Caenorhabditis elegans: one gene and its partner. The protein of the gene in region 2 purifies or fractionates together with the protein of the main gene of each other region. This does not show direct contact. Each region holds a gene or a part of one and is shown on either strand. Other genes may lie near its edges. The genes, in order: cri-3 and atad-3.

Evidence for each region.
Region 1: the proteins of atad-3 (region 2) and cri-3 fractionate together in Caenorhabditis elegans (co-fractionation; one large-scale study listed by BioGRID). This does not show direct contact.

What each region holds. Positions count from the first base shown.
Region 1 is NC_003281.10:3,388,721-3,404,715, reverse strand, and holds cri-3 (Conserved regulator of innate immunity protein 3), read right to left. Parts: upstream 8,132-15,995; 5' UTR 8,127-8,131; coding exon 7,855-8,126; intron 7,805-7,854; coding exon 7,620-7,804; intron 7,570-7,619; coding exon 7,466-7,569; intron 7,417-7,465; coding exon 7,267-7,416; 3' UTR 7,089-7,266; downstream 1-7,088. Other genes in the region: npp-9 (Nuclear Pore complex Protein), read left to right, coding at 453-470, 520-612, 658-1,083, 1,137-1,634, 1,739-2,199, 2,249-3,146, 3,407-3,550, 3,609-3,725; Protein clpf-1, read right to left, coding at 4,138-4,248, 4,310-4,576, 5,174-5,257, 5,311-5,422, 5,472-5,623, 5,675-5,877, 6,188-6,385, 6,803-6,962; mlc-4 (Myosin regulatory light chain), read left to right, coding at 10,935-11,033, 11,152-11,499, 11,954-12,025; elmd-1 (ELMO domain-containing protein C56G7.3), read right to left, coding at 12,276-12,364, 12,491-12,618, 12,959-13,035, 13,496-14,092, 14,717-14,794; E3 ubiquitin-protein ligase hecw-1, read left to right, coding at 15,838-15,917, 15,969-15,995.
Region 2 is NC_003280.10:10,239,391-10,256,635, reverse strand, and holds atad-3 (ATPase family AAA domain-containing protein 3), read right to left. Parts: upstream 7,646-17,245; coding exon 7,271-7,645; intron 7,225-7,270; coding exon 6,212-7,224; intron 6,165-6,211; coding exon 5,765-6,164; 3' UTR 5,472-5,764; downstream 1-5,471. Other genes in the region: F54B3.1 (Protein SZT2), read right to left, coding at 1-368, 921-1,481, 2,049-2,433, 2,821-3,360, 3,949-4,426, 4,473-4,643, 4,828-5,119, 5,284-5,342; nrde-2 (Nuclear exosome regulator NRDE2), read left to right, coding at 9,026-9,068, 9,126-9,187, 9,237-9,350, 9,396-9,472, 9,518-9,930, 10,105-10,226, 10,276-10,440, 10,486-11,091 and 5 more; mrps-14 (Small ribosomal subunit protein uS14m), read left to right, coding at 14,146-14,222, 14,714-14,887, 15,006-15,102, 15,971-16,222; F-box/WD repeat-containing protein mec-15, read left to right, coding at 16,948-17,109, 17,158-17,245. UniProt on the Caenorhabditis elegans protein: Essential for mitochondrial network organization, mitochondrial metabolism and cell growth at organism and cellular level. Important during development for the up-regulation of mitochondrial activity during the transition to higher larval stages.

The DNA of each region.
Region 1 (15,995 bases), on a different chromosome or scaffold from region 2:
TTCGCCTGAAAAACCGGTATTTTCCATGAATAATTGCCAACTCATGGTTAAAGGCGCGCGTGTCGATTTACGCAACGGGTCTCGCCACGGCGCAGGAATTTGAACTTTTTTCGAAATTTGCGAAGCTTGGCGCCCAATTTCTATTTATTTTAGACTGTTTCGCCATAGTTTTTCCGTATTTTTACGAAAAATAGCTGGAAAACATTTTTTGTGCGTTTAAAAGCATATTTTATACAGAAAAGACTAGTTTTAAAGGTAGGAAAGCCCTATTTTAAGCAGGGAAAGCGTTGGCGCGAAATTTCGAAATTCAAATCCCTGGCGCGAATTCTTTGAAGTATTGCTGCTAATTTTCAACTAAAGAGACCGCAGTATTCGTCTTTTTATCTCGCTTTAGCTTGAAGTCTCTTGAATTGTTTACCTGATATTTTTCATATTTCAGCTCTCCTTTCGCAATGAGCGATCAGAAGCCGGTAAGTGAATCTTTTCGAATGTTGCTCAACATGATTCACGGTATTTCAGAATATGGGGCGCATTGTCGCCAGCGTCGTGGATGTGCAGCAGTTGATGACAATGCAGTTTGACTCGCTTATCAAAAGCATGGACTCGTTGAAGGTATGCGATTCATGAAAAACTCAATTTAATACTTATTTTTCACAGATTGAGCACCAGACCGGCGTCACCCAGCTTCGCGATGATATTCGTCGATCCGAGGATCGGTTTCAGAAGCAGTTGTCCGATTTGAGCACTAATCACGGAAAAGAGCTCGAGAGACTTCATCAAATTATACACACTCTTCTTGCTCGTGATGCGAATCCTCTCGGCTCAATGATTCCTCCACAGCAGCTTCAGCAACAACAGCAAATGTTGATTCTTCAGCGACAAATGGAGATGGCTCATGTGCAGGCAGCACAAGCTCAAGCTCATGCTCACGCTCAAGCTCAAGCCCAAGCACAGGCCCAAAGCCAAGTTATGGCTAATTTGCTCAATGCTGCGAAGCCAGCTATTCCCGTTACACAGCCACTGGTCGCCACTACAGCACAAGCAAAATCGACAGTTCCAGCTTCTGGAGTTATTGCACCAAAGGTAACAAATTTTCGGGTTTTAGTTCCAGCAATTAAAAATTCAATATTTTTCAGACATCTCCACCAGAAGTTGTAATTCCACCTGCTAAGCCAACATTCTCTACTCCAACGCCTGCAGTTGTTCCAAAGCCAGCCACCACCGGATTCTCATTCGGCGGGACCAATCCAGCTACTTCAATCTTCGGTAAAAAGCCTGAAACTGCTTCCCCAGTCGTGGTTCCAGCAGCTAAAGATGATGAAGACGAAGAACATGATGAGGATTACGAGCCAGAGGGCGAGTTCAAGCCAGTCATTCCACTGCCAGATCTTGTCGAGGTGAAAACTGGAGAAGAAGGAGAGCAAACCATGTTCTGCAATCGTTCAAAACTCTACATTTATGCCAACGAGACGAAGGAATGGAAGGAGCGAGGAACCGGCGAGCTGAAGGTTCTCTACAACAAGGACAAGAAGTCGTGGAGAGTTGTTATGCGACGAGACCAGGTGACCATTTCGGAGGAGACACTCCCTTCAAATATTGAGAATGGAACCGAAGAATTGTGTTGGAATATTCAGGTTATTCCAATTACAGCTTTTTTCACATTTTTCGGCGTTTTCCTCAACAGAAAGATCTTAATTTAAATTTAAATACCTTAATTTAGCATTAAAATAAATTACAGGTTCTCAAAGTCTGTGCCAATTTCCCAATTCTCGGCTCGATGACCATTCAACAAATGAAATCCAACGAGAAGGCCTACACATGGTTCTGCGAGGACTTTTCCGAAGATCAGCCAGCTCACGTGAAGCTTTCCGCTCGTTTCGCTAACGTCGATATCGCTGGAGAGTTTAAGACTTTGTTCGAGAAGGCTGTCGCTGAGGCAAAATCATCGAGCAACGCTGGAAAGACCATCGACAAGGAAATCAAGCCGGCGGCTGAGGTGAAGAAGGAAGTCAAGCAAGAAGTTGTGATTCCATCAAACAACAAACCGGAAGAGACTGGATTTGGAGATCAGTTCAAGCCAAAACCAGGATCTTGGGAATGCCCTGGATGCTATGTTACTTGCAAAGCTGACGAGATTGAATGTGCCTGTTGTGGGACATCGAAAGACGGATCTGTCAAAGAGAAAAATATATTCTCTAAGTAAATATTCTATTTGAGTTATCTTAAAATTAAAAATTTAAATTTGCAGACCTTCGATCCTCCAGCCTGCCCCAGGAACTCCAAAAGTGACATTCGGATTCGGAGCATCTGCTCCAGCCAAGGAACCTCTTGCTCAAACATCTCAGTTCGGTGGATCACTCAGCGGATCTCCAAGCACTAGCAGTAGCATTTTCGGTGGTGGAACACCAAAGGGAACAAGCGTTTTCGGTGGAGGTGCTGCTAATACTCCAACTTTCTCATTCAACAAGCCAGCTGCCGCTGTCAATGCAACTACCCCATCGTTCAATTTCAACAATCCTGCAGCTTCAACTGCTTCTCCGGCAACCTCTACGACTCCAGGAAATTCATTGTTCGGAGGTGGACTCTCCAAGACTGAATCTACAGCTTCTTCAACTACTACTCCGTCGTTTATGTTCGCCAAGAATTCTGAAAGTGCCTTCCCAAAGCCAACTTTCTCATTCGGAAAGCAACAGACTCCATCAACGACTGCACCAGCTAAACAAGAAGAAAATAAACAGTCCGAGACGCCAAAATCCGTGTTCGGTAGTGGATTCACGTCTGGAGGTGCAACATTCGCTGCCCTTTCAGCCAACTCTGCCAAATCTGGCTCCATTTTCGACGCAGCAAATGTCAAGAAGGCCCAAGAAGAACTTGCTGCTCAGAAGAAGGCAAGCATTTTCGGGAGCAAGAACACCACGTTGAACACGACTTCTGCAACTTCACACGATGGTGATGAGACGAATGAGGATGGAGATGGGGAGTATGAGCCAGAAGTCGAGTTTAAGCCAGTTATTCCTCTTCCGGATTTGGTTGAGGTGAAAACTGGTGAAGAGGACGAGGAGGTCATGTTCTCCGCCAGATGCAAGCTTTATAAGTACTATTCGGATCTCAAGGAGAATAAGGAACGTGGACTCGGAGATATTAAGGTCAGATTTAGGATTTTATATCAAAATGAGCCAGCTTGGCATGTTCTTTTGATAGTTTTCATTAAAATTTAGTGATAAAACGTAGAAAATAACTTATTTCAGTTGAAACAGTTAAGAAAAGTGCTAGTTTTGCGCACTTTTCAACTGTTTTGCAAGTATTTTCTATGTTTTTTCACTAAATTTTAATGAAAACTATTAAGAAAACAACTGATTTTTGACTCATAGAGGCTAAATTTGAGAAAAATAATTTATTATTTCAGCTCCTGAAAAGCAATGACAACAAATATCGAATCGTGATGCGTCGTGAGCAAGTCCATAAGCTCTGTGCCAATTTCCGTATCGAAAAGTCGATGAAGCTCAGTCCGAAGCCAAACTTGCCAAATGTGCTCACATTTATGTGCCAGGTAGCAATTTTTAATTTCTTTTTATATAAAAATGTACTATAAATTCCTTATTTTTCAGGACTTCTCAGAAGACGCCTCCAACGCTGATCCAGCCATCTTCACCGCCAAATTCAAGGACGAGGCGACCGCCGGAGCATTCAAGACGGCTGTTCAGGATGCTCAATCGAAGATGTAATCCTCTGCTGATTATTTAAATTATTTTATTATTGTTATTCCTCCCCACCCAGCACTCTGTGTTAGTATTCCCCACCACCAATTTTATTTATGAACCTAGTTTTATTCATCCCCATCTGCTGTCATCTATAGTCCTTTAAGTGTAGTTTATATTTGTCTGGTAAGGTTTTTAAAAAAATAATTTCCTTATTTCCCCCCCATCTCTCTCAAAATCCCATTGTTCTCATAAGTACCCCCCACACACTATCATTCATAATTTTTGTCTTTAAAACTTAACTATATTGTTCACATTGTCCCGGCATCGATTTTTCCCCACTGGTGACAATCCAATAAATTGTGAATGCATTGAAGAATGAGATTTATTTTGAGGGCGGGAAACAAATAAATAGGGATTAGGAAAAAAAAGAAATAAATTATCGTTTTATTTGATCATCAAGATGGGTGATATCTGAGAAGACGAGAACTTTCGATGGAATTGTACGCTGTGGGCAGAGAATTGACATTGTTCGCTTCTCCAAATCAACCTGAAATTTGGATAAAATTGAAATTTCCGTTCGAGACCCAAAAACTCGACGAAATACCAACCTCCGTGACAAGACAAAATCCAAAAACCGGCGATTTCAGCACATTTTCGTCGGCTTTCGTGCTCCGCGAGAACGCGAACAAATGATGTTTAATGTCGGCACTGGGCTCCATGATAACCAGCTTTGTCTCATGATTTTCAACTTCCATTCCGAATGGTAGACATGAATCGGGCAGTTGCTCGGCTCCGATTTTACAAAGAGTGACGTCATCGAAGCTGACGTCAAATGTGAATGGGTAGAGATTGTTGGCACGGGTTCCGTAGAAATACTGCAAAAAAAAAGTTTTTTCTTAACAAGTTAGGCTTTAAAACACTGAAAAACCAAAAAAAAGAAAAAACCCGCAAGTGCGGTAGGGTTGCGGAAAAACCGTGTCAGACAAATAAGTCCCGCCCCCTCAAATAATAATTTTTCGAATATTTAAGCTCTAAAGCCAGTTTTACTCGAATTTCTAGACCATAAAATACAGAATTCTTTGGAAATGTTTTATTTTTAGAAAAAAAATGCCTGAAAGGCCCAGGGACAATATTTTCGTGAAGAAAATTAATTTTTCAGCTCAAAAATTCAAATATATATATTTTTCCGATTAAATCAAATGTTTTCCAATAGAAAATAGACAAAAAATACAGAAAACTTGTCAAAATCACTCAAAAACTGCAAAAAATTTCATAGAGCGGAGCCTTTTAGCACGTGCGGCAGGGCTGCGGAAAAACCGTTCCAGGCTTGCAAATAAGCTCCGCCCCTTCAATTTATATTCATTTTTCGAATATTTCAGCTCTGAAAAGCTGATTTTTGTCGATGTCTCTAGTGCAAATCAAAGATTTTTTTGGAAAAACTTTATTTTTCGAATTTTGAGGACAAAACCTACCCGATGAACGTTTTCTCCGCGCATTTTCGAACGAATTTGCCCGGTTCGTTGTTCAACTCCACCGGATTTTGGAACATGTGTGAGCTGTAAATGAATGATTAACTTTCAAACAAAAAACAAGGATTTTCGCGACATACTCTGACGAATTCCGGCAATTCTTTACTCAAATCACTGTAGAGCCTCTCGTGATCGAGCACAATAACCACGTCGACTTCAAATGCCGATGCCGCTTTTACAATGCATTTGTATCTGAAATTGAGCTATTTTAAACAGATTTTCAGCGAAAAAAACGACAAACCCTTCCCCATCAACCCATCCACAGGTGTTAATGATCATTCCGCCGATTTTGGCTTCATCATTCTCCTGAATTTGTGCATTTAGTGTAGTTGCCATCTCTTTGAACAATGCTTCGTAGAGAGATAGATTTGCCGACGGAGAAGTGTGCCCAAACTGGAAAAAATTGGGAAAAATTGTGAATTATTTGATAAATTTAAAGCCTACATTAAAGACAATCGGCTGATTTCTCTCGAATCCATCAATGACGTCGGCTGTTTTTTGTACAAGAACAGCTGCAACTGTTCCGGGCACCGAAACGCTGTTCTGACCGACATCGAGCTCCACAAATATCGGGGTACGTCCTTGGCGAACCGAATAGTTGCACAGAATACGGGAGACTGTGGTTTTTCCGACGTCCGTTGGTCCAACTGGAAAATTAATTATTTTTTGGGTTAAAAATCAGTAAAAAACCGGAAAACAAGGTTTTTTCTACATTTTTCGAAGCCAAACATAAAAATAAATTACTTAAATTCCGAAAAAAAATAAAATAAAAAGGTGGGCGGGCCGTGCGGCACGGTTGCAAAACAACCGTGCCAGGCTTGCAAATAGCCCCCGCCCCTTGAAAATATTGATTTTTCCAGTATTTCAAATGATTTTTACTCGATTTTCCTGCAGAAACCACAGAAATTTTCAGTTTTTCGACGAAAAATCTCCAAAAAAAGCCTAGAATCAGCTCACCCAACAGCAATCTCGGTCCTTTTGCCTTATTCGAGTTTCCAGCCGCCTGTTCCTCTCTCTTCTTCCGAACTTCTTCCATAGCTGCGTGAATATTCAGATAAATGACCATCGGAGTGCTCTCGGCAACGTATGCGCTCTCGGTTGTGCCGACGAGCTCAATTGTGGCGCCTTTCCACGTGAACGCCGCCACACGAGATTCTGAGGAAAAATTGGGTTTTAAATGGCAGAAAATGGGCCGAAATTGACTTTTATGGCCAAATCCATTGGTGTTTCTCAATTTTTTTCTGTGATATTTGATTTAAAACACTGTTTTCCAGACTTTTCCGCATAAAACAAATGATTACATCTGAAATTATCGATTTTTAGGCCAAGTTTCAAGATGAAGTTTCAGCGAATTTCTCTACTTTAACCGCAAAGAAACACGCTAAAACTTGGAAATTGACCTAAAAGTCGATAATTTCACAGAAATTTGTGCTTTTTCTGCGGAAACATTAGGAAAACAGTGTTTCAAGCGAAATATTACAGAAAAAAAACGGAGAAAGAGCAATAAATATAGCCAGAAAACGGGAGTTTTTGAAAAGTTGAAAAAAAATCCAGATTTCGAGGAAAACTTACTGGCTGGAAATGTATATTTCTTATTTAACAGCAGTTCTGTGCCAAAAATTTCAGCGTATCCCTTGACGAGCTCCAGACAGACATCCGAATCGTCTCCGGCGGCAAATCTCAGCTCACAGTCCTCTTTCAAAACGAACTCTTGAACATTCTCCTCGCTCATTTCTTTGGAATCTGAAAATGAGGCTTTATTGATTTTTTAATTTTCAGGAAAAAACGCGGAATTAGATAAAGCAAAGACATAGTTAATTTACAAAAAATTTGGGATGCGGAAAACTACAAAAGAAGAAAAAAACAATGGGTTTATTATTTTTGGAGGAGAGAAACCTCAAAACAGAACAAAAAACTAAGGAAAATAAACGAGCTGAAAGAAAATGTGCTACTTATTTAGATTACCTAAAAACGTCAACAGTAAAGTTATAAAAGACAGAAAAAACAAAACAATTGAAAAAATTTCAGAAAGCAATCTATTTGGAGATGAACTTCTTGATCTTGTCGAGAAGTCCAACGTATTGAGAGTGCTCGTAGTGAGTGGCATAGGCGACGAGAGTCTTGCAGAACCGAGCATCGAGACCGCGTTCTTCCAAATAACGAACGAACAGGAGATCGTGGAGGTCCTGGAATTAGAAAAAATCAATAATTTGCGGTCCTCTTGGGACTACTAACTGGATCGATATATTTTCCACTGCTAGCGTACACCTCGGATGGTACGTCCTCGTTTCCATTCTTGGCAGATGGGGCGACGTAGAACTCTTCGACGCGGAAATCATCTATAAATAGTATATATTTTATTCGAGTTTTCGATAAAATCGAGTATTACACTCATCAGGTTGATCGTCAACTGGCACAAGCTCGAGATGGAAGCAAAGTCTCTGATCTCCCTTGGTAATCTCGACGGTGAATGGTGGCATGGCTACTGGAACTGGAGCGACGGCCTGGGATGGCTCATCGTCGAATCCTTCGTCCATATCGACAGAGTGGTTCACATTGAAGACGACGAGAATGCTTTAAAAAAATTAACTTTAGAACTATGAAAAATTCTGAAAAAAACGAACTCTTCGCTTCCATTCTTCTTGGTCAGCCTAACTTCGGCGTCCTTATTGGTGACTTGGAAGCCAGCAAATGTCGGCGCAACGGCTCCTTGAAGATTGTCGCTGCTCAGCTGTTGCTCGGCTTCGATCTCACGGTTCAGGGCCTGTTGAAGTTCTGGCGTTACTGACAGAACCTTGGCCGATTGTGAGAAATGGCGTGGAGCGGCCATTCTGACGACCTGGGATGAACGGAGAGCCACTCGGGACAGGGAGCGAACAAGGGAAGCAGTGTTCATTTTACCTGAAAGAAGAAAAAAATAGAAAATTACATTTTCCAAAAATGATGCAAGTTTTTATCGAGCTAAAAATCAAGATTATCAGGTTATAAAGCGTTTCTAATTGATTTTAGGCTAATTTAGTTGTCAAAAATCAATAATTTCAATGAAAAACCTCGAAAAAATCAGTGGAAGCGTGCAGAACCGAAGAAAAAGCGAGAGAATATGCGAAAAGCCGACGAAAATAATTCAAATAGAGCCTTTCGTGGCAAGATATCTTCGCCGCAAAATGGCATGCGCCTTTAACTTGGCGCGCTTTGGAATTGTGTTCAAACGTTTTTCAGCCATATTTTCTCATTTTAAATCGATTTTTTCTTGTTTAAAATGATTTTAAAGTGCGTTTTCTTTGAAATTATTGACTATTGGGCTTAAAATTATATAATAAAACTGAAAATTGCCAGAAAAATCGATTTTTTGTTGTAAAAACATGGAATAGAGCTGCGCAGCTGGCGCGATGAGTCATGAGTCATTTGAAAAAGCAGCATTGCGAAATTTATGTTTAGAATTTTTTGAAGATTATTGATTAAACTAGGAGATTATCGATTTTAAGGAATATTTTTATACTTTTGAATTTTCGAATTTCGTGTTTCTGGCTAAAATCGTTGGTTTTTCTCGATTTTTCATTAATTTTCAGTTTTTCAGAAGTTTTTTCGTCTAGAAAACTTGTTTTCTGGCATTTTTCGGAATTTTTGAAGCTTCAGTGTATTTATTTCGAGGTCATAGCGTTTTTTAAACGGAAAAACTCTTTAAAATTCGAAAAATCATGTTTTAAATCAAATAATAATGAAAAATCTAGAAAAACCGATCTAGAAAACATTTATTTGCGCGGGAATTCAAAAATTATTCGGTTTTTTGTTGGAAAAATTAAAAAATCAAACAAAATTCAGGAAATCTTTATTAATTTTTCAGCAGTAATGTCCTGTATAGTGAGGATTTTTTCTGTCATTTAGGGCAAAAACTGGCGTACTTTCAAATTTAAAAAACCATTTTTTCGGTATTTCATAGTGTTTAGACCCCAAATTCCGTTCCCAAAACCTCCCAGAAATTAAATCGTATTCCGTATTCCGTCGGAATATCTTGTTTATCGGCAAGTCATCATATATACCTCCTCATTCCAATGTCCTTTCACACACATTCGAAAGGAACTGTCTCCGTATAAATACACAACGAATGGGAACTGTCTTCTCTCCGTCTCTTCACTCTCTTCACTGCTTCTCCCGTCGTTCCGAAGAATATCGATTGTTTTTCCGCTCTTTTCCGTTTATGTTATGTTTGCCAGTCATGTGAATCACTTCATAACGTTTTTTCTGCTTTCCGGAGAGAATTCTCCATTTTCTGCTACAGTTTTGAGGAAAAAAAAATTGCATTTCGTCGCATTTAATGTGAATTTTGGCCGGGGGAAAATATTAAACAATCTACATTTTTATACCGGGAATTGGGTGGGCGGCAAGTGCTGTTCGGCAAATCGCCAAATTGCCGGTTTGCCGATTTGCCGGAAATGTGTAGAGGCACTTTTTATAAGACGGAACCACTTAAAACTGCCTTTTTGGAATTTATATCCCGCTTTTTAAAGAAATTTTCATAGAAGTTGCTTATTTTTCAAAATAGACGTAGGAACATTCATAGGGTGCGTACAATTTTGCCGATTTAAATTGAAATTCTGAAATTTCCAAAAAAAGGTGCAAAACCACATTTTGCCGAAAATTTTCGGCACCTGTCGTTTTTCCGGCAGTTCGCCGATTTGCCAGAAATTTTAATACCGGCAATTTGCCGATTTTCCGGAAATTTTGAACTCCGGCAATTTGCTGATTTGCCGGAAATTTCAATTCCGCCAATTTGCCGATTTGCGGGAAATTTCCATATAGGCAATTTGCTGATTTGCCGGAAATTTCAATTCCGCCAATTTGCCGCCCACCCCTGACATTAACATTAATTGAAAATAATTGATGATTTTTCCAAGTTTTGCAAAAAAATTCCGGAACTTTTAAACTGATTTTCCTTGTTTTTTTTGCCGAAAAACGAAAAAGTGCAAATTTTAAATAATTTACGCTCCGTTTTTCCTCATTTGACATCCTAAATATGCCCTCCGCCTATTAGATTCTAATCTTTTCTCCGTTTCTCGGTCATTTCCCTCAAAAATGTGTCATATTTCGGTTCAAATCCCCTTTCCAAGGCGACAAACGCTGAGAATCAATATTTCCTTCGAAAACCTCGCTTCCAATCGTAATAGGAAACAAAAAAACTGAAACAAAACATTTTTTGCGGCGGTGACTCACCGCTTTTTCGTTATCAAATAATATTTTCCACGCCCCGCATCTTTTCAGTTTTTTTTCACATTTTTTTGGTTTCTACCATCTTCATATTTCATCGTTTTTTGAGAGAATATCAATTTTCGTTTCAAAAATACTGCTAATAAACGATAAATTAGCGATTTCAATGCTAAAAACAATATTAGTTTGCAAAAATTATCAAAATTTCGGCCAAAAATTGAAATTCTCACAAAAAAACAACGGAAACTTTTTTCCTCTTTTCCTCGAGGAGTCTAGACGTTTTTTGCATCAAAAAAAGGTCTCGACACGACAAATTTTCATTAAATTCAAAGTACTGTATTCCCGAATTTTCATTGATTTTTCGAGAAAAAAAATCCAATTAGTAAAACTACAGTACTCTTTAAAGGCGCTCACCTTTTAGTATTTAACATAAATTTGTCGTGTCGAGACCTTATTTTTTCCTCAAAAATCGCAAATTTTCAAATTTTTGCAGTAAGCCATGGCCTCCCGCAAAACCGTAAACCGCCGTCAACGGCCACAAAGAGCCACTTCCAATGTGTTCGCCATGTTCGATCAGGCTCAAATTCAAGAGTTCAAAGTAGGTGACAGCCTCATTTTTCGTTTTTTTTTTCGAAAAAATAAAAATTTAAAAAGACGAAAAATCCATTGGTTTCAGCGGAATTTTTAAAGAACAATTAAAATAAATTCAATTTCAGGAGGCATTCAACATGATCGACCAAAACCGCGATGGATTCATCGATCAAGAGGATCTGAAGGATATGTTCGCTTCCCTTGGAAAAGAAGTCACCGAACAATTCATCGATTCGATGATTAACGAGGCTCCCGGAGCACAGCCGATCAATTTCACAATGTTCCTGACACTTTTCGGTGAAAAATTGACTGGAACGGATCCGGAGGAAGTCATACGGAATGCGTTCCAATGCTTCGATGAGGATAATTCGGGAAAACTCAATGAGGAGCATCTTCGCGAGTTGCTCACCACGATGGGCGAGAGATATTCCGAGGAACAGGTTGATGAGCTCTTTAGAGATGCTCCGATTAAGGTATAATCGCTGTAACTTCGGAACGAAAAAAAGAAGGGAAACAGGAGTTTCTGGCTCGAAAAGCTTGATTTTGGACCTCTTAAAATCGTGGAAAATTCAGAGATTTTCGATTTATCAGCCGGAAAATTTGGTGTCGATTTACGCCGGTCGTGTACTCCTAGTGAAGAAGTTTTTGCTTCTTTATTTTGCAAAAAATTGCGATAATTTTCGCTTTTTATTGTAGATTTTGAAGGAAAAAAATCGATGTTGAAATTACTTGTTTTTTCAACAGAAAAAAGTGCAAACTTCTCCACGGGGAGTACACGATCTGCGTAAATCGACACAATTTTCTATAAAAAAAACACATATTTTTACCAAATTTTCCAATGCAAAATAGTTTTTTTTAAATCCTAAAACCCTAAAATATTTATTTTTTCCTGAAAAATAAGCCAATTTTCAATTTTTTTTTTCTCAGGGCGGACAATTCGACTACGTGGAGTTCACTCGTATGCTCAAACACGGAACCAAGGACAAGGATGAGGCTTAAACTGGCTCGCAAACTCACACAAAATTCTCGAGTTTTTCAAGATTCAGTTCGCTTACACACGCTTTCTTTTTCGCCTCAAATAATTATTATCATTCATGCTTTTTTTCACACCATCTATTTATTGTTGTATTCCACTTCCCCCAATACCATGTGCATAAATAAACTCGAAAACGGTTGATTTTTATTGTAATTTAAAGCTATAATCTTTAAGGATTTTTTCACAGATTCGTTTCTCGGGAAGTTTCAATCATCACAGGAGGGTATTGATGAGCTCGTCATTCGTCGGATTTAGAAGCATTATCAGGGATAATGGAGATTTTTCGAGTTGGCGGGTTATTTCTGCAAAAAATTGAACATTTTCAGGATTGTAATTTCCGGCAAATCGGCAAACCGGCAATTTGCCGATTTGCCGGGATTTTGGCCATAGAAAATTGCCCAATTTTCGAAAAAAAAAAGTTTACTAACCACTGAAAATAGTTTGAGTGTTGGCAAGTGTACACTTTTGTGACTTATAAATTGAGCAAAATCGGCACATTGCAGATGCATGGAGAGCAGAAAAGAATGGATAGAGTCCTTCGATTTCGTTGCCAAAGCTGTAAATGTGCTCTATTGAGAAATGTGCCAAGTGGCGCGAGATTTGAATTTTTTGGTGTTTTTTTGGAAAATAATTTGAAAAAATGCGAATTTTAGTTGAAAAAAAAAAATTTTCTGCCAAAATTCTAGGAGAAACGTTTTTTTTTCAAAATTTCTGAAAACAAAAATTAAAATAAGTTTTTGCCAGTTCTGTGAATTTTTGGTATAATATCTTTTAAACAATTTTTTTTCAAACTTTTAGGAAAATGCCATGTTTCTTGTGTGCTGTTTTTTTTTCTTTTCAAAAAAAACCAAGTGGCACGAGAAACGCGTCAGCAAGCGCCCTTTGCGCAGACTTACTTATCAAGAGCTCCTTTCTTCAGTTGTGTTAATAAAATACTCGTAATATTGATTGAAACAACGGCAAGTGGGAAATCCTGGAAAATTTTCTATTGGTTTTTTAAAAAAGTGCACGGAGCGCGATTGCATTGAAACATTTTTTTGCCAAAAATACGGTATCTGGTCTCGACACGACAATTTTTTGTTAAATACGAAAGGGTGTCCGCCTTTAAAAAGTACTGTAGTTTCAAACTTTCGTTACTGCAAAATTTTAATCGTTTTTTTAAATAGTTTTTCGATAATAAAAAATTCTTTATTGAAAAAACTCAAATGTAACAATAAAAACACATAAAATTCGCGAAAATTCTGCTGAAACAAAAGTTTGAAACTATAGTACTATTTAAAGGCGCACACCATTTCTCATTTAACACAAATTCGTCGTTTCGAGACCGGACACCGTATTTTTGATAAAAATTGCAAATTTTCCGAATTGAAACTGTCAAAATTGCAAGCGCGCTCTATTACAACTTTTTTCAAAAATCCCAATAAAAAACTAACATTCGGTTCAGTAGTGGCAAGAAGTACAATTGCTCGAAGTAAATTCGCCGGTACTCTCTGCGTAAAAGTGTGCATTTGAAGTAGGCCAAGAACTCCGCAACCTCGAAAATCCGTGTGCGGTGTCGCCGACTGAAAGCCTACAGTAACCCAATGCGCGCCAACACGTGACGGATTAGTGACGTGAGAGTATTCTGATGACGTCATCAGGGATCTTGAAACATTGTTAAAGTAGTCCGAGAGGAGAAGCCAGTGTGTTCCGTTTTCATGATCATAGGGTATTTGAGCGAGTTTTAAAATTAGCGTTTTATCCGTATAGGCTTTCGGGCCCATTTGTGATTTTACAGGCCTGCACAGACAAACGTCAATTATCCGATTGAATGTTGATCGATTATCGATTGATTCCCGGGAAACTACTTGTACTTCTGGATCTGTGACGTCATCGGTGGGCGTGGCACTTGGTGGTGCGTTGGACGATGACGTGGCAATTAGAAGGGGGTAGAGGTCTTGAAGAGAAGTTTCTGGGGCGACGGCAACTGTGGGGGAGCCTGGCTCACGGGTTACATCCATTTTGAGAGCGTCTGCGCCTTTTAGCTCGATCTGGAAAATTTAAATTTCACAAAAAAATCTCCAGATTTCAAGGAAATTCTAGTTTTTTTCTTTTTTTCTGCCATCAGGCTTCTAAAAATTTATTTTCTAATTTTCCTACAGTAAATTTAAAGGCGCATACACAATGTTTGTATAAAATACATTTTCCACTGTGATACCCATCCACATTTTCTGTGTATGCGCCTTTAAGTTTACAGTACGAAAATTCGAGTGTTTAAAAGTTTTTTTTAGTTTTTTGAAATTAAACTTTCAAAAAATTTAATCTCTAATTTTCCTACTGTAAATTTAAAGGCGCATACACAATATTCGTCAAAAATTAATTTTTCGCTGTTAGACCCATCCACATTTTCAGTGCATGCGCCTTTAAGGTTACAGTAGGATAAATTGATTTATTTGTTTCTTGGTTTATTTACAAAATTCTAGAATTTTTTTGGGAAAAATTTGTTTCGCAAAAACTCAAAAAATATTCAAAAGCTTTCGCTGATATCGATTTTTAAGCGAAACATTAAAATTTCTATGATTTTTCGTATTTAAAATTTAAAAATTAAAATTAAACTTTAGAAAATCTATTAAAAACGTGAAACACTTTTGAAAAATAATTTTAAAAATACGTACCTCACACCACTCGTCCAAAACTCGCATTCTTTCTTTTCGCCATTCATCTTGCTCCGTTTCCAACGGCTCTGCTTCCATCCTGGTAATTTTTAAGTTTAAATTAATCAATTTTCAGAACATAAAATTCGATGTAAAGTGAAAAGTACATGAAGTTGATGTAAAGCGTGTTTCTAAATGACTGGCGTGTTGTGCGAGAGGGTGTGTTGGGATGAGAGAGTGCTGAGAAAATGAACCAAAAGAGAAGAGAGACGCAGGACGTTTTGTAGTTGGAGTCTAAGTACATGTTACCCCTCTTCCAGTAGAAACTGACAGCTGGGGTTTAGAGTAAAGGAGTGGTGGTGGACGAATAAAACGTTGAGTTGTGTTTATTTAAAAAAAATAAAAAACATAAGCCCAATGCGGGGCTCGAACCCGCGACAACCAGATTAAGAGTCTGGTGCTCTACCGACTGAGCTAACCGGGCGGCGGAAACATTGCAAAAAAGTGGCCTAGAGAAGACGCAGGCATTTCGTTGCTAAAGTGTTGTGAATCGATGAAATTTAAAAACCACCGTACGCGCGAGTACGGTAGCTGCTAAAGTTTCGATCGTGGCAAGACCCGCGCGTTTAATAACGCACTTTCTCGTGGACATATACAATTTCTAGTATACGTTCACTTATAAATCATTTATCGGACGAGGTTTCGAATTACTAAACCAATTTCTGCATAGAAAATCAAGAAATTTGAAAAAAATCGATTTTCTGTAAACTATAAAGCCAAAAGCTAAGCGAAAGTTAAGAAAATAGCAAGAAAGAAAATAGGAAAAGCCTCTTTGTTACCATAGTGATACGTATAGCGATAGAGAGAGAGATGCTGAGAGCTGAAGAGAAAAAGAGAAAAAAAACAAATATAATACGTGCAGTTTTAATCGATTTCCTAGTATTGCCACGCCATCTCTTTATTCACGTCTATGTCACTATTTTTCCGGGATTTCAAAATTTTTTGAAAAATGGAAAATCATATATTCCATATGAAGTATGATCTACAAAACTCGCGGCAGATTTGCGATGACGTGACGTCATGTATTTTTTCCAAAATCCTGCGATTCCTGGAGATCAAGCCAAATGTTTATTTCAGATACTATGGGAGACGAGTTCCCATTTCACCATCTGGGATATGTCTGCCTGAATGAGATCTATAAACACTTGACCTTGAAAGAAATGTAAGAAATTTTCAGAAAAAAAAACCCGAAAAACCCCCCGAAAATTTGCAGATTCCAGTTATCATTTTCCTCTAATCA
Region 2 (17,245 bases):
GAATCGTAATCGCTGGAAACATGATAAACTGCTCCAGTGATGCTCCGGATGAATCATAAATTTGTCGGAGCAACGAGACAGCATTATTCTGAGTCCACGCCGGTCGGAATCCCTCCTGATGCATTCTCTTGTGCATGAGCACATTTTGACAGAAATCTGCGAGAAGTCGAACAATGAATGCACCGCCTGGTTGAAAGGTGTTGAGAAGAATGACACTACGACGACACGCCAGACTTTTTGCAAGTGTATTATGAAGTGTTAACAGCATAATTTCATCAGGATCATCGGTTTTTTCTTCGGCTCGAACGATTGTTGTGAGATCAGCGGGCACGTGAGTGTAACGGACAACCATTCGTTCCAGAGGACGCCTGAAAATTTTTTGAATTAAACATTTAAGTTATTAAAGACGGAATATGGACCAGGTGGGCGGCAGACGATTTTTTTCCGGCAAAAAATCGGCAAATTTCCGATTTGCCAGAAAAACGGCAACTGGCGAAAATTTTCGGCAAATTGTGGTTTTGCACATTTTTTTTGGAAATTTCAATTTTAATCAGCAAAATTGTTCGCATCCTATCGGCAAATGGCAAGAATTGAAATTTCCGGCAAATCGGTAAATCGGCAATTTGCCAAAAATCAAAATTTCCGGCAAACCGGCAATTTGTCGATAATCAAATTTCCGGCAAATCGGCAAACCGACAATTTGCCGAAAATAAAAATTTCCGGCAAATTAGCAATCGAAAAATTTCCGAAAATTAACATTTCCAGCAAATCCGCAAAACGGCAAATTGCCGGAATTGAAAATTTCTGGCAATTTGCTGATTTGCCGAATTTGTCGACAAAAAATTTGTTTTTTTTTTAAATTTTAATTTTTCGAAAAAAAAATCGCTAAAAAATTAACTTTTTTAATCCTAAAATCTCACCGAAACACTGTACATGCTGGATCTGACTTTTTGTCAAAAATCTTGGTTGGGTCCATATAAAACTTTGCAGCATTCGCTTCATATCGATATCTTCTCGCTTCTTTTTTTAAATCAGCCTCATCAAGAATAGTTCCATAAGTAACATTTATCAATCGTTGTCTCTGTGCTTCAACAGCACGTCTTCTCTCTATTGAAGTGACTCCACCGAGAAATGCTGTCTTGATAATTGCCACAGGACCATTACAAATCACTTTTCGAATGAAGAAATACGATGGTTTTTTGGAATTTTGTGTAGCGTAGACCAGTGTAACATATGTTTGATTTTCAACAAGACAGAATGTTGCACGCACTTTAATTGAATAAAGAACAGCATTCAGTGGATAACGACAGTCAAATTTCAGAATTCTTTCGGTTGTAAACATTTCAAATGGAACGTGGATCAGGTTGAGCAGACTTCTTTCCGTTTGAGTGTGCACCCATTTCTGCCAATTGCTATCGTCAACTTCGAGCATTTTCTTCCAAAAATTGACGAATCCGCGAGTTTTAACACCGTCTGGTTTGCTGAAAACATGATAATTTTAGAAGATTTATAAGAATTTAGAATTTTTGTTTTCAATTTATTTTTCTAAAAATGTAATGCTGGAATTTTTTGCTGGAATTTTTCCAAGAAAATTGAAAAAAAAATCGGTATTGTCAAAAAAAAACTAAAAATCTTGACTTAATTTTTGTTCGAAATTTTGAATTTTTTTGTATTTTGCAACAAAAAAAAACTACATTTCGATTTTTTAACCGGTTTTCAGAAAGTTTCAGAAAATAAAAAACCAGAGAAAAATGTTCGGTTTTATTTCTAAAAAAATCGGTTTTTCGGCTTTTTGTTGTTAAAAATAATAAAAAGTTATGTTTTAAGATTTTTTGGTATTTTTCAAAAAAAAAAGTGTTTTCAGAGAAAAAAGTATTATTTTAAGAATCAGAAAAAAAAGGTTTTCAGGTTTTTGTTTTTGAAAATTCGATGTTTTGTATTTTTCAGGAATAAAACTGAAAATTATGATTTTTATGGTGTTTTTCAGAAGTTAAATACATTTTTTAATAGAAAAAAACGGAAAATTAACGATTTTCAAAAATACTTACACTATACAAAGTTGCGGCAAAATTTGTCGTGAACGATCTCCTTGTTGAAATAAAGCATACTCCTTGGTGACACCGGGTGGTATAGTGAAATATGCGATTTTTGTATCAAATGAATGAATATGCAGAAGAAGACGATCCGCGTCGATGATTCCATCAATTACAGATTTTATAAGATTCATTCGGATTGGATTGAGATAATTGCTTTCTGTTAGAAGATCTTTCAACTCATTATATGGTCCTTCTAGTACCAACTCCACATTCACTGCTTGATGTACATTCTTGTTGACTGGCCATGCCGAAGTAATGATGTAATCAATGAATACAAGTGGTCGAAAAGCGAGTCGGAGGGTCAGGATTACTTGGGTATTGTTCTTCACGAATACAGCTAAAATTATGGAAAATTTTAGTATAAATTTTAATTTTTTTGAAACGTTTTTTTTTAAATTTGATTTTCGGCAAATTGACGGTTTGCCGGAAATTTTGATTTTTGGAAAATTGGCGGTTTGCCGATTTGGCGGAAATTTGGATTTTCAGCAAATTGCCGATTTGCCGACCATCAATTTGCGGAAGTTTTTGGAGGGATTCTTTTATAAGACGGATACACTTAAACCTGTGCCTTTTTGGAAATTTTTTTTTCAAGAGAAATAACATTCCAAAAAGATGTGCAAAACCACAAATTGCCGGAAATCTCAATTCCGACAATTTGCCGATTTGCGGAAGTTTTCACCCCTGTTTTGAAATATAAATATATTCACAAAAATAAATAACTTACTAGATTTCAATGTGAATCCTTCTCTCAATCTCACATACATCATACGATTCAATGTCGCCTGATAGTCTGCAACAAATCTTCGATGTCGGTCCACATGACTCTGTTGGAGCTCCAAAAAATCGCTGTTAATCTGTGCAAACGTATCCAATAAATAATCATTGTCATTCAAACCATTTTGAAATGACCAACAAATTAATGCTCGATGAAATTGATTAATATTCTCTTTGCTCTCATCAATTATATCATCATGTTCAACAGTTCGTTTTATCACTAATTGACCCTCTTGTGTTCTACTCAGAATTAATGGATCTTTTGGTGGTTGTGGCATTTGACGTGGAAGATATGTTCCAAATGTTGCCATTGTCATGAAATAAAAGAGAGATGATGATCCAACATGTCCGAATACAGGTTCTGTACAAGCTTTCTTTTGTAATTGAATGAACGAAAATGCAACTGTGTAACTGCGGAGTTGGGTGAGAACATTTTGCAAAGCTTCTTCGTCAGGCATACCGCAGACTGAATCAGAGATTATCACCAGATCTGAAATTAAGTTTTCGTTGTATAATGAAAAAAAAGCTCAAATTTTCAATTTTACAATTTTTAGAATAAATTTTCAGTCAAATTTTTTAAAGTTCAATTTTTTTAAATATGGAAAGACACTTTTTTTTTCTTTGGAATATCGGAAAATCGAAACAACTATATTTTTACCCATTTTTGTGATTTGATTTTTTTCTCGATTTTCAAAAATTGGAAAATCTTCAAAAGAAAAGTCCAAATTTTTGTAAAATCGAAATTTTTAAAAAGTTTTTCCGCTGTTCGAAAAATCGCAATTTTTCTTCGGAATATCGGTAATTCAAAAAAAAAAAAAGAATCATAAAATATGATTTTTTAATTCTAATTTTGTTCATAATTTGAGAAAAAACCAAAATTTGAAGCTAATTTTTGAAAAATCGAAAATATTTTTTTAAAAACCTTTCTTTTGTGAAATTGAATTTTTTTTTCGTTTTTCCACTTATCTGTAAAATCTGTTTTTTTTTCAGAATATCAGAAAATCGAAAAAACTTTTTTTTTTCAATTTCTGGGAAATCTAATTTTTTTTGTTCCCAGCCCTGTGACTTGATAACTCACTAGATTGAGTATTTTCGGGGAGCATCTGAATCTGTAAAAGACCCATTCGAAGCATAAATATCAGCGACCAATCCGGTGCAACATAACTCTTATCACTTGCAAATGACAATTGTTTCTGATCTTCATGACGTTCAGTTGCAGACCATATTCCACGTTGTATTGACATAAGATTCCCACCATCCATTGCTCTGTCTGCATCTCCATCATTTTTGTGTGAAGTCGATGCTGCGGAAGATTCAGATAAGTGAATATTTTCCGCTGATGGTACTTTTCGACTGCAATCTTCACTCTGCGAGTCACTCTCACAAAGTGAATCGAATTTATTGTGCTTGTGACGACGTTTCAGTTTTCCCCACATTTCGAGAATCGGACGGGAGAAGGTGAACAGTCGTTTGTAGATGTCGACGAACTTTATCTCAACCGATTCAATTACCATATCAACATTTGATTCAGTGACGAAGACTCCTTGGCATAACGTCTGAAATAATTTATGAATTCGGATGCAAGCGGAAAAAAGAACGTACAAAAGTCTCCTCAAACTTCATAAAAGGTGTGAACAAGCAGATGGACGTGTGAACTTGAGGACGAAAAATTCGATTCGTTCCGGGTATGACAAATGATTTTACTGATGATCGTAGAGCATTTCGAAGGCTTGGGATGATTCGATCAACGAGGCAACAGTTGGATTCATCGTCCTGAAAAATTACGTGATTTCGCACAATTGCTCTGGGCTGGGACTTGTTAGGTTTTTCATTTGTTTTTTTTTTTGGTATTTTGACGAAACATTGATTTTTTGGTTTTTGGGACCAAAAAACCAAGGCTCATTTTGTAGAATTTTCAGATGAACAATGCAGCGCAGCCGTGCCAAAACCAACTCACCGCCATAACAACGGATGGACTGAGATCAAGAACAAAAACAATTCGATAATATCTGGATATATATGTGCATTTCGTTCTGACAGTCACAATGAATTGCTCGTCTCCAACGACTTCTGTACCATCTCCTCCGGCTGGTACAATCCCGATGACTGTCATCTCTTGCCTGTACTCATCTTTTGGATCTTTTGATGGTTTATATGATGAGCATTGTGGAACTTCTTCGATTGATACGGCCTTTCCGAGATGATCAATGTACCAATGTGCACGAAGATTGCGGGATGCACGGAAGATTCTGAAATTATTGTTTTTCAGGATTTCTGATATTGAAAATTGTGGTTTCTAGCTTTTTATTGTTGCTTTTCTGGAAATATTAGGCTAAAAGCTCATAAACGTTTAATTTCAATTGATTTCTTATTTTCTGAAAAAACCATATATTGCCAGCTTTTTCCTTCTTACCTGTGCATAAACAGAAAGACCTCTCCGGCCTCCCGCAAGTTTTTTGTTTCAGTATCCATTTGATCGTTTTAATCGAACATTTGGGCTGAAAATTATTTTTTTTGCTTTTTCTCTTCAGAAGCTTTCAAAATATGAAAAATTGAAGTGCAACAAAAGCGATTATTAGTTAGTATTACATTAAAATGAAGAGTTTCTTTATTAACAAAAAAAAAACAATAATCTTTCACTCTACTTAAATTACTACACAAAAACTAAATAAAAATGACTGACCTAGAAAATAAGGGGAAAACGAAAAAAAACAATAGAAAAACAAGGGCCTAATTGAATTATCTAAAAAAATTATATTATCAGCAAAATTTCTGATTAAGAATGAAATTACGAAATTACCGGAAGTTTGAAGATTTCAGAAAAGAAAAAACAACAAAAAAACGTAAATAGAAAACAATAGAGTATCATGAACAAGGAAATGAATATTTTGAAATTAAACAGCAGTTTCTCTCTTCAACGTAGTTCCGAACTTGACTTCTTGGTTACGAGCTTTCAATTGCTCCTTCTCAAGCCATTCCATCTTATGTTCATGTTGAACCATTGCGTCAGCAGTATTACGATCAACGATAGCCTCGGTGAGCACTCCGGTTTCAGATGCATATGCAGAAGCTTGCCATCCGATGACAAGTTTACTCAATTCTCTTCCACTCATTCCAGATGTCTTTTTGGCAACTTCATTACACTTAGCAACCCAATCAAAGTTATCGAGTTTCAGTCGTTGAGAACGAGATCCACTAGTTGCTGGAGTGACGATGTGCTCGTTGAAGTATTGCAGAAGAATTCGTTCACGTTCTTCCATTCCTGGCAGTGTGAATTCGACAAGCTGATCGAAACTGAAAAGAATAATAAATTCTGTTTTTTATTTAAAAAAAAGGATTACCGATCGTTAACTGCCCAATCGAACTGCTCTGGCTGATTAGAAGCCACGACAAGCATGAACTTTCTCGACTGCTCTCCAGTTCTGAAGAGGAAAGCGTTGAGAGCTGCACGTGTGTCTTCAGACATTCCATTCTTTGATCTCTTTTGCAAAAAAGCGTCAGCTTCGTCAATAAAAACAATCAACCCTTTGCGACTTTTTGAAGCCCAGTCGAATACTTTATGAATTGCAGATACTCCATCACGTCCAAGTGGAGCAATATCTCCTCCAGTGAGAACTGCGTAATCGAGTCCGGAATGTTGAGCCAAACTCTTTGCGAAAAGTGTCTTTCCGGTTCCTGGTGGTCCGTAGAACATTACATTACGGAAAAGTCCATTATTTCTCTTTGTGTTTGAGGTGGTAATGGCAATATCACGAAGACGACGTTCCAAAGCAGGTGGTAATACAACTCCATTCAGTGGATCCTTCTTCTGACGAGTCATCATTTGAACACTTTTAATTGGGTGTTTGAGTACTTCAAGTGGAGTGATTCTGGATGTTTCTCTTACAAGACTTGGTTTTCCGAGACGAGATTCGATGTATCTTGCGGTGACTCCAGTTCCTCGTTTAGCGGTATACCAGCCGACAGCCAAAGCAGTCAATCCTCCTACTGCAGCAGCGATTTTCGTTTTATCATTCAAAAATTGATTGAGTCCAGAACCGATAAGTTCTCCACTGGTTTTAATTTTTTCAATGACAGTTTTTCGGTTCTCTTCTTCGTGAAGCTTCATTTGCTCTAAGTTTACATCTCTGTTATCTCGAGCAGCCTTTGCCCTGGCTCTGGTCTCTGCGTCAATTTTCTCGAGCTCGTATTTGTGTTTTAATGCTAACTCATGCTCAATAGTTTGCTTGCGAAGTTGTTCCTGCTTCTTGACAGACTCTTCTTGTTTTCGGAGGCTTTCTTCCTGCATTCTAGCTTTCATGGCAAGCTCCTCTTCGGCTCTCTTTCTGGCCAATTGATCTTGATATTCAGCACGCTGAAATTATTTAGTTGTTATGTATTCAGATGTTTGGAAAAATTACCGAATGCGCATGTTTAGTCTCTTCTCCCAAAGTCTTCCTCCGTTCTTCTTCAGCAACACGAATGTGCTCTGATTTCATATTGGCCAATTGAGCTTCGATCTTCTTGGTCTCGTTCTCGACCTCTTTTTGGCGTGTAACTTCTTGCATTCTCGACAATTCAAGAGCTTCTTTGGCATTTGGAAATTTCTCTAGATCACGAGCAGCCTTGGCGGCACGCTCCAAAGCTGTTGAGTCGAAGGAATATGCCATTTTGCTGTTTCCCTCTTGCCGTTGGCCTTGACCTGGTTGTTGTGGACCGCCAGGAGCAGCACCTGCTTGAAAATCATCCGGAATCTGCGGAGTAGCGTTTTTTTGAACACCAAATAACCAAGACATCTGAAAGAATAGATTGAAGCTTGGGATGGTGCAAAAATATTCTAAGGAATATTGATTAAAGGAAATGATTTATATATGTACTTATGCCAAAGTATGAAACAATAATTTCTTTAAAGGAATGAAATTCGGAGAGACTTTGTGTAATCCTTGAAGAAAACGTAGTATTAAAACAGAGTTGCAACCTTTTCAGTAAAATTAGATGATGCAAAACAGATTTTCCGGCTCATTTTCCCTGAATTTAAAGGACCTGCCGTCAAAAAAGACCTGCCGTCGTTATAATTCACGAATTTCTATTTTTTGAAACACATTCTGCATTGAAAAATAAACTTTAAAAAATTAAATTAAGATTGTTGGAAAAAAACAGAAATCGCTAAGGCAGATTATGCTCCAATGACATTTTCTGACGCATTTCTCGATATCGTAAAGTGCGCCAGCGTTCAAAGGCCACATCTGAGGCCCCACGAAAAGGGGAGCAGAACGAAAAGGGGATCTGCAAAAAGGGGATCTGCGAAAAGGGGAGATACGGAAAGGGGAGATACGAAAAGGGGAGCAACGAAAAGGGGATCTGGCACTGTGCCAAACGCTATTTTTCTCGAAGAAAACGATACAACGATTGTCGCGAATACGCAGAATACTGATGTTCCGCCGATCACGACTGAGAAATGATATTAATACCCAGGAAATGCGTCAAGGAAATATTAAAGAATTATTATGATTATTACGAAGTCTTTCCGTATTCTAAATGCTCACGACAATCCACCGAAGTCATCAACAACGACAAAGCCGGGAAACTCCTGTTTGAAAGCCGCGCCAAAAGACACACACGTCACGAGTGTTACAGTACTACCACACATGCACATCAAACCCCAACACGTCGACACCGCGCAAGGAAATCGTCACTTCTTCGTTTTACTCCCGGACCGGCAGGTCGCATGTTAAATATGAGCTTTCTCATTTTTATCATTCAACGGATTTATCAGTAATAAATTATATAATTCTACCACTTTTGAACCTATACCGATCCGAAACATGGTGCATCGGCTCCGATGTTACGCGTCGCGTGTTGTTAAGCGTATCTTCTAGAAGAAAACTTCAAAAATCAACGTGCGTTGCGTGAGAAAAATTGCGTTTTGTGCGTTTGGCACAGTGCCAGCTCCCCTTTTCGTATCTCCCCTTTTCGTATCTCCCCTTTTTGCAGATCCCCTTTTCGTTCTGCTCCCCTTTTCGTGGGGCCTCCCACACCTTTGTTTTTCTTTTCGAACAGTCACATTTTTCCTTTTTTTTTTTGTTTAAAACTTTCTTTCTTTCATTAAAAAAACAATTATGCAAATTGTGAATTAAGCTGTTTTCAGGGTAATATCATACCAAACTTAATGAACAATGTTTCGAGCGTATGGAAATAATGGATTGAAAAATCCAGAAAGTAAGTTTTTTCTACGAATTCATCTCATTTTTATAAATGCAAAATTCATTTTTCCAGGAATTTCTGGTGAGAATCCAGATCTTTATACGCAAACAAGGGCTGCTGTTCAACAACGAGCGGTGAGAAATATTTAGTTTTTTTTTTCATCTTTCATGCGATTTATTTCAGACTACCACTCTAAAAAGAAACGAAAAACAGAAACTCGCCGTGCAGAATGACTCTGTTTTTCAGCAAGTTGGAATTGGAGAATCTGATAGTGATGACGATAATGGTGGTGTTCGGGTGAGGCCAGTGACATTTAAACTTTAAACTTATTTTTGCTTTCAGATTAGAATGAGCCCCCACAGGTACATTGATCCAGATGATGTTTTCACTCTCCCAGAGGTGAAAAAGCAAAATGCCTTGTGCGTAAATAATTTTTCTAGTTTGAAAATAATATAAAATTTCAGGAGAGACGCGAAAATTGCGGCCCGAGCAGCTCAGGCAACTGCTTACAATACATTTCCGTCCGTTAAAAGCTTAAATGGTTGCCAAGATCCACCAGAAACAAGTCAACAATCCACAAGTCGTAAACGTTCAGCAAGCAACAGCAGGAGTCCATCGAGATCTCACAGTCGCCGATACGATCGGGATAATGGCAGGCAACGCAGCAGGAGTCGTGAAAAGAAGAGAAGAAAGAAGGAACGCAGACGAAAAAGATCCAGTAGCCGAAGCTCTAGTTCATCTCGTTCTCGGGATAGGTCATCTCGTGCTCGGGATACGTCATCTCACACTTTAATGAAAATGAACAAACCTGCAAAATATGCATTTCTCACCGATGAAGAATATCGCACGTGCGATGCGTACATTTCATCTGCGTTTAGTAAGTTTTTTCATCGAAAAAAGTGATCATATCACAATAAAGTTAATGCTTATTTACGATTCAAAGTTAAAATATATTTAGAAATTAAATATTCATATTATCGCCAGCCGGCAAATACTGCGCAATTTTCAAATTATTGTTAATTTAAAAAGTTCCAACGAGAAAAAATTACAGTTACTCAAACTAAAAGTGATTGTGAAAACTATACGCAAGGAGTTCCGAAGAAAGAAATTGCCAAGTGTCGATTGAGTGTCAAGTTTATTGTCGGTTTGGAGCATAACAATATTCTGTTCAACGTATGTTTTGGCACTTATTTTTTAATCTTTTCAAAAAACCAGTTTTCAGAATATTTATGGAGCGGAATATGCCAGAGACAAGGAAAACCGCCCATTCTGGGAGCAGCTGGATAGATACTTGAAGGATGTTCCGAAAGAGACATTCTTTCGATATGTGCCTCCAGTCGGCGGTTACTGGAAGATTCGTGACAGAGTTGATTTATTAAATCTTGATGTGAGTTATTTTGAATATATCGGAAACCGAAAACCAAGATTTCAGCACATTGACGATGATGTTCTAGCAAACGATTCGGATAATCGAAAAGATGCGTTCACATTTGAGCTCGAACAGGCGAAGAAAACATTTTCCGAAAATGTTCATAACATTGATGCTCTAATCAAAGTAATTTCAATGGAAGAAGAAATGTGTCGTCGGAATGTTGGAAGTTTCTCCAGTTCAAATCCAGCAGCTCTTGCCGAACGTCACCAGGAAATGGTGAAAAAAGCCATTAAAGCCGACGGTAGAAATGCAAAACTTCGATTGATGAAAATTGAATTACTCATCAAAATGGATCCCAACTCTCCTACTATTATTGATGACTTCAAAAATCTTACCATCACATTTCCACATGAACCAATGGTATGGATCAAGTATTTGGACTATATACAATATGATAGCAATGTGTACAATTACAAAAAATTGAAGAATGCATTCGAAGATTGTATCCGACAAGTGACTGGATTGACAAATGGAACACTTCTTTCACATTTGAATGCTGTTAACGATAGACCATTGCTTAGAATGTTCCATTTATGGATTTATATTCGTTATTTGAAGTGGATGATTTCCTGTGCACACACGCCAGTGGTACTGGCAAACATACAGGTGAGATTTTAGGAAATACTAAGAAACCTTTGGTTTTGTGAGTATTAAATCACTTTTTTTTTCAAGATTTTACTTATTTCAGGCCACTTTTGAATACAATTTTGGACTCGCTGATGTTGAAAAGCGGACGAGCACTAATTCAAAAGAACGGGAAGTCAGATTGGAGGAATTCTGGGAATCTGGTCTTCCGCGAATCGGCGACGAAGGTGCTGTTGGTGCAGAGAAGATGCTTAAACAATCGGAAGAATTATCTGATGAAGATATTCAGAAATTGGAAAATGATGATTTTGATATTCTTATTTCACGCACCGAGGAAACAATAGCGACGTGTCTTCAAGCTCAACGGGACGTGCAGATTTCGTGGATCGAAGTTGAACGAGAAATGATGAACATCGATGCTCGCGTGAAACGGACGAAACTGAAAGATTGTGAACTTTATGAAGATCATGTGGACGACTTAGAGACATGTGAACTCTGGGACATCATTCCTTTTGATAGAATTCGATATTATGAAGCACCAGGCGATTGTGCTAATTTCGATTTTGTACAACCTTTTTTGGAGTTGCTCGGCGTCAAATTTTTAAATTCGGTAAGCAAATTTCAACTAATATTATGCTTGAAATTAATTTTGAGGAATTGTAAAAATACTTTTTTTTTCCAGACGAACTGCTTCACAACAACCGAACAAATCATTTCTGATTGGATTTCTAATGATTCTACTGTTAACTTCTACAAAACTCCGACTTATACCGAGAAAAAGTGCTTTGAAGTTGGAAATAATATTCTGAAGTTTATGCTTTACAATCGACTCAAACTGACCGAAAACAATCCTGAATACTTGGATAAGACTATGGTGAAGTACTTGCTGGCAATGCTCGTCACCGAAGCTTCGGAACAGGAGAAGAAATTGAATTTCCACAGTTTTAAACTGAATCTTAAAAACTTGGTTGGAACATTCATCACTAAACATCCAGACATTTTCAAGCGTGCCATGCTGAGTAAGATCACAGGAATTGTCTACATGGAAAAGTTTGTGTCTTGGTGGGAGCGTGCACTGAAAGAACAGGAAAAAGTAGTGGAAGCTGACGAGAGAAGGAAGAATTATAAAGAGATCAAGATGGAGGAAGGCGTCGTAGATGATGTTAAATTCGATGTCATATTGTTAAAGAAAGACAAAGAACGAGTGCAAACAATTCGTGATAAGATTAGGGATATGATTGATATAGCTATCCCCAAATCAACAGAAAAGCTCATTCAGAGCGCTGATTCTTCATTGCCAACGCTTCAATTACATCTTTATGCCAATGTTCTACGTGGAAGACTTTCTATTCTAAATCAAAATGCTTTAGAAGAGACTCGAGATGTTTTCTGTAAAGAGATTCTTGGAATTCACACTTCGGAATTTGAAAGTGATGAAGCTCTCTTATTGGCATTGGATCAAGGATTGAACGAATTGCTGGAGCATTGCAAGGAGAAGGACAATCTTGAATCGGTCGACAGTATACCAGAATTACCAAGAGCTGAGGCACTGTGCGAAGCTTTGAAAGTTGTGGCGGTATTTGTTTTCTGTGAGTTTTATAGTCTTTGAGTCTTTGTAAAAATTAATTGATTATTTTATTAAATTTCAGTGGACAAGATGGCATTCAGCAGGCGTGCAGTCGACTGCCTCATTGCCAACGCGATCACCAAATTCGAGCAATTTGAAGCCAAGAAAAATGATTTCAATCGTGGAACTTATGAAAAATACTGTGATCAGATCGATTTGAAATTCATCACGGACACTCTCATAACCTTCTTTTCGCACAAAAAACACCGTTTCATCTACAATGAAAACTTCAAAAAGTTGATCTTCCAAGCATCGCAAGCGTTCCCATGTGATTCGAAATATGCGAAGATGCTCGGCGAGCTGCATTCCAGCGGTCGTCTGCAAGTGATGAAGCTTCAAGGATTCACCGACAGCAGAAATAGTATTTTGAATGCGAAACGAGATCAGCAATTTGATCCAGAACTTGAAACTCGTCTTCTCATGAACTCGTTGACTATTATGTTCTCTTGGATGAATGCAGCCAACCGGATTGGAGACGCCGGAAATCAAATCCTCTATAAAAATTGGAAACGAGAAGCAGCTAATACACGTGATCCGGCTATCTGGAGACAAGTTATAAGAGTTGCCAGTAAATTGTCACAGAAGATTCTAAAGGACGATGTGAGTTTTCAGGAAAAAAGGTTGTATGTGAAATTTAAATTTCTTACAGGCTTACACTCGTGCAAGAGGTCAATGTACATGGGCTCTCAATTTGCACTTTGATTATATTGAAGCAAAAACTGTCCGCAAGAATGGAGATCTAATGGAGATGATGTAAGTTCAATTATTGAGAGCAAAGTTTCAGTTCAAAAATGTAATTTGTTGTGCCCGATTTTTGAAAATAATCAACTAAGATTGATTTTATTACAATGTTCAAATTATCGAAGTATAATTAATTTAAATCGTATTATTTTTTTTCGATTTCTAGTCTAGTCTATATACAACAATACAATACAAAGCGAATAAATTTTATTAAAACGCTATGCAATTATAATCAGCACACATGCCAATGCATTCTAAATAACACTATTTACAGCTACCTCATTCTCGAACAAAGCATGGGACAAGAGCATAGTTTATTTGTGACCGACGAGGAATACATGAAAACACAGCAGGAAATTGGACTACAGTATTCCGAATCCGGACGTTGATTCTCTCTTTTTTGTGTAACTCGGCCTATAACTTTTTTAAAAATCCATTCCATATAATTATCCACCGGTATTCATTTCATCCCAGGAATCTTTCTTTCTTTTGTTCTTTCTATCCGACAGATTATGTTTATTTTTGTATTATAATTCTTCTGTCTTTTCGCATTTTTTGTTTCGGTAAAAATTTTTTGTTTTCAACAATGAAAATATTCGTTTTAATGTCATATTTCTTTCATCATGAAAGAGGTTACACTTCCTCCAACCAGTTCCTTCCATGCATGAATAATTGTATTAAATATGTATTGCAATGTATGTGCACAGATGTTGAGGGCACTCCGCGGAGCAGCGGACCTACTATCGACGGCTCTTTACAAGAATGAAATGATGATGAGTAGAAGGTGAGTATAGATTTCTCTAATTATTATTTAAACTATGCGAAAATCCTGCTTTTGGCGAAAAATTTTGATGTTTTGCTTTTTTTACACTCGAGAATATTTTAAACTTTCAATTTATAAAATTTGTTTAAGCGAAAATTTTTCGTTGAAAAAAGTGAACCTGCCACAAAATGGAAACGTTTTTAAAAAATTAATTTTTAGAATTTCCCTTTTTTTTCCGAAAACTTACACTTGAAATTAGAAGTAAAATGCAATTATTATTAAAATATTCGAAAATTCTCAACAAAAAAAAACGTTTGAGGCCTGCGAAATTACTCGTATTTTTGACGAAAAGTTCAATTTTTGCTTTTTTATTCGAAAAAAAAACTAAATGGAAAACTTTTTTTTTGGTTTTCAAATTTCAAAATTTGTTATTCGAACTCAATCCTTTTCTCGCGCTGAGAAAACAGGAATTATCGTCTTATGGCTTAATTTAAATGTCCAACAATTTCCAGATATTTATCAACTCCAGCTCCTGAACCTGCAAAACCATCATCTGAAGAGACTACGGAATCCACGGAACCGGCAACATCTGTAGAAGATGCTGGAGAACCTATGAAAGAGAAACGAATCACTCAACCATATTCTAGCGAGGCGCTTACAAAATTGAAACTTGATCAGTATCCATTGTAGGTTTTTGGTTTTTTTTGTATATTTTTGAAATTATTGCCTGCCGCTTTTTTATTCTCAAAGTGAGAAAGAATTGCACATAAACTATACACTTGTATTGAATATACGTTTCTATAGATACGTGGAGAGAGAATGGTGGAAAACCGGAAAACGAATGACATTCTGGGCGAGTTGGCGTCAGTTGAGAGATGTCAAACGACGTGAGCAGATTCAGGTTGGTTTCTATTTTTTATACGAATATTGTCATATGTGCTAAAAATATTTTTGGTTTTTATTTCAAACCAAAAAGGAAAAAAATTGAAATTTGTAAAAGAACCAAAACAAAAAATACCAAAAAATACGAATATTGTCATATGTGCCAAAAAATTTGTTTTAAAGGATTAAAGGATTAAAGGACGATCCGTTCTTCAAGTGCTATGCACTGCGGATCTGGGATTCAGGTACACTGCCTGGTGGTGATCCCTCTGGGCTGTAATTTAAGCCACGTCCTAGCCGGGGACTGTGGCCGATAATCCAGTCGTGGATTGCTCCACTTCCCAATAGAGGCTGGGTGAACCTAGGGGGTGAGGCCGGACTTGAACTCGTGACCTCCAGACTGCTAGCGGCCACCACTACCGACAGAGCTAAAAAACATCAAAAACCATAAGAATATTTACAAAATATAAATTGTTTAAAATACAAAAAAAAAATCGCATTTTTCTTCGTGCCAGAATACCAAAAAACACCAGGGCTGTCACCAAAAAAAATTTTCCATAAACAAAAAAAAGTTTTTCGCTTCTTTTCACATGTCTGAAATTTTTTAAATATTTTTTTTATTCGAAAACCACCAAAAAATCGTTATTGAAAATCATTACTTTTTAAAAAAACAAAACCCCACAAAACAGAAAACCCAAAAAAAAAACCATTTTTTGTGACGAAAAAACCAAAAAATTCCCTTTTTTATTAAAAAAACCCCCACAAACCAAAAAAACCAGAAAAAACCCATTTTTGTAACAAAAAACCCCCGACACCCCCATTTTTGACAAAAAAGCCTTAAACAAGCCCAGGCCTGCTGCTTGCCCTTGATTAAAATTTAATTTCAGGAAGTCGGCGCGGATCGTATGCGTCTAAAAGCTATCAAATTCAACACAATTCTCCCGCAAGCGATTCGTGACGAAGCAGCCGAGAAAATGCAAAAAGCTCGAAAATACGATCATCCTCGTCTGATTCTCAATATGTGCCAGTTCACAGGACGACAACGTGGAAAGATAAAGCCATACAGATTGAGTAGACACTTGTTCCGTCGATTTGCAGATAGATCAGCTCTCAGTGGAGTCCAAAGAGCCATGTGGTAGTGTGAGATAGGAGTTGTAGTTTTAGATTTATTTGTTTTCTATTTTTGATTTCTTCTTCGTTTTGAACACTTCTTTTGTTATCGATGCTCTTAATGAATTATTTTTGTTTTATTGTGATATAGATTATGATATCTCTGTATTGGTTATTGATCAATTAAAATACTTTTTTTTCAGAAAAATTATTATTTTCAGATGTTTTTCTGTCCATCAGTGTGCGAGCGTGCTCCACAGCCCCAATACAATGGGTCTCGTTAGTTAATTGGCGGCAAAAGCCTAAAAATTCAAACGTTTTATTTTTCGGCAATCAAGGATGTCTTCGAAAAATGTCTGCTTCAGAGATTCACTGTTTTGCCTCCAATACCTAACGAGACCCAACTATTGGAGGCGGATCCTGCTCATTTCGCTGCTGAGCGCGCTTTCACATTGATCTCAAAAAACGAATTTTTCTGCGGTGTCGGCTTCAAAAAAAATTTCCAGAGAAATCGCTATTTTTTCGTTTTCCCATTGTTCACAAATTACATTAAAATTTCGGTCAATTTGCTTCCTTTTAGTGAAAAAGTATTTTTTTTCTCTTATCAACAGGCAAAGTTTGATTCAAAAAATTTAAAGTAAAAAAAAGATTTCAAGATTTTCCAGAAAATCGAAAATTTTAATTTTTCGATTTTTAATTTTCTCTGAAACACTGCTTCCCATAATATCTATCTCATTATTCTTACAGCATCCTTATGACAAATGCTCAACCAACGGAGCTCATATCCCTTCCTTCGGAGCTCCTTTGCCATCTTTTCACCTATTTACCACAACGACAATTGATCACAGAAATTCCACTGGTATGCAGAAGGTTCAATACGATATTAAACGATGACAAATTTTGGAGTAGAAGAATTGTTCGTATTATTACTATTTTATCGAAAAAAATTATTTTATTTTTTTAGCGCACTGAGCAGAAAGTTCGTCTACCAGATTGTGAACTCAAGCATCCTGAGTATGAACCAAAGAAATCATTTTACGCGATGCATCGAC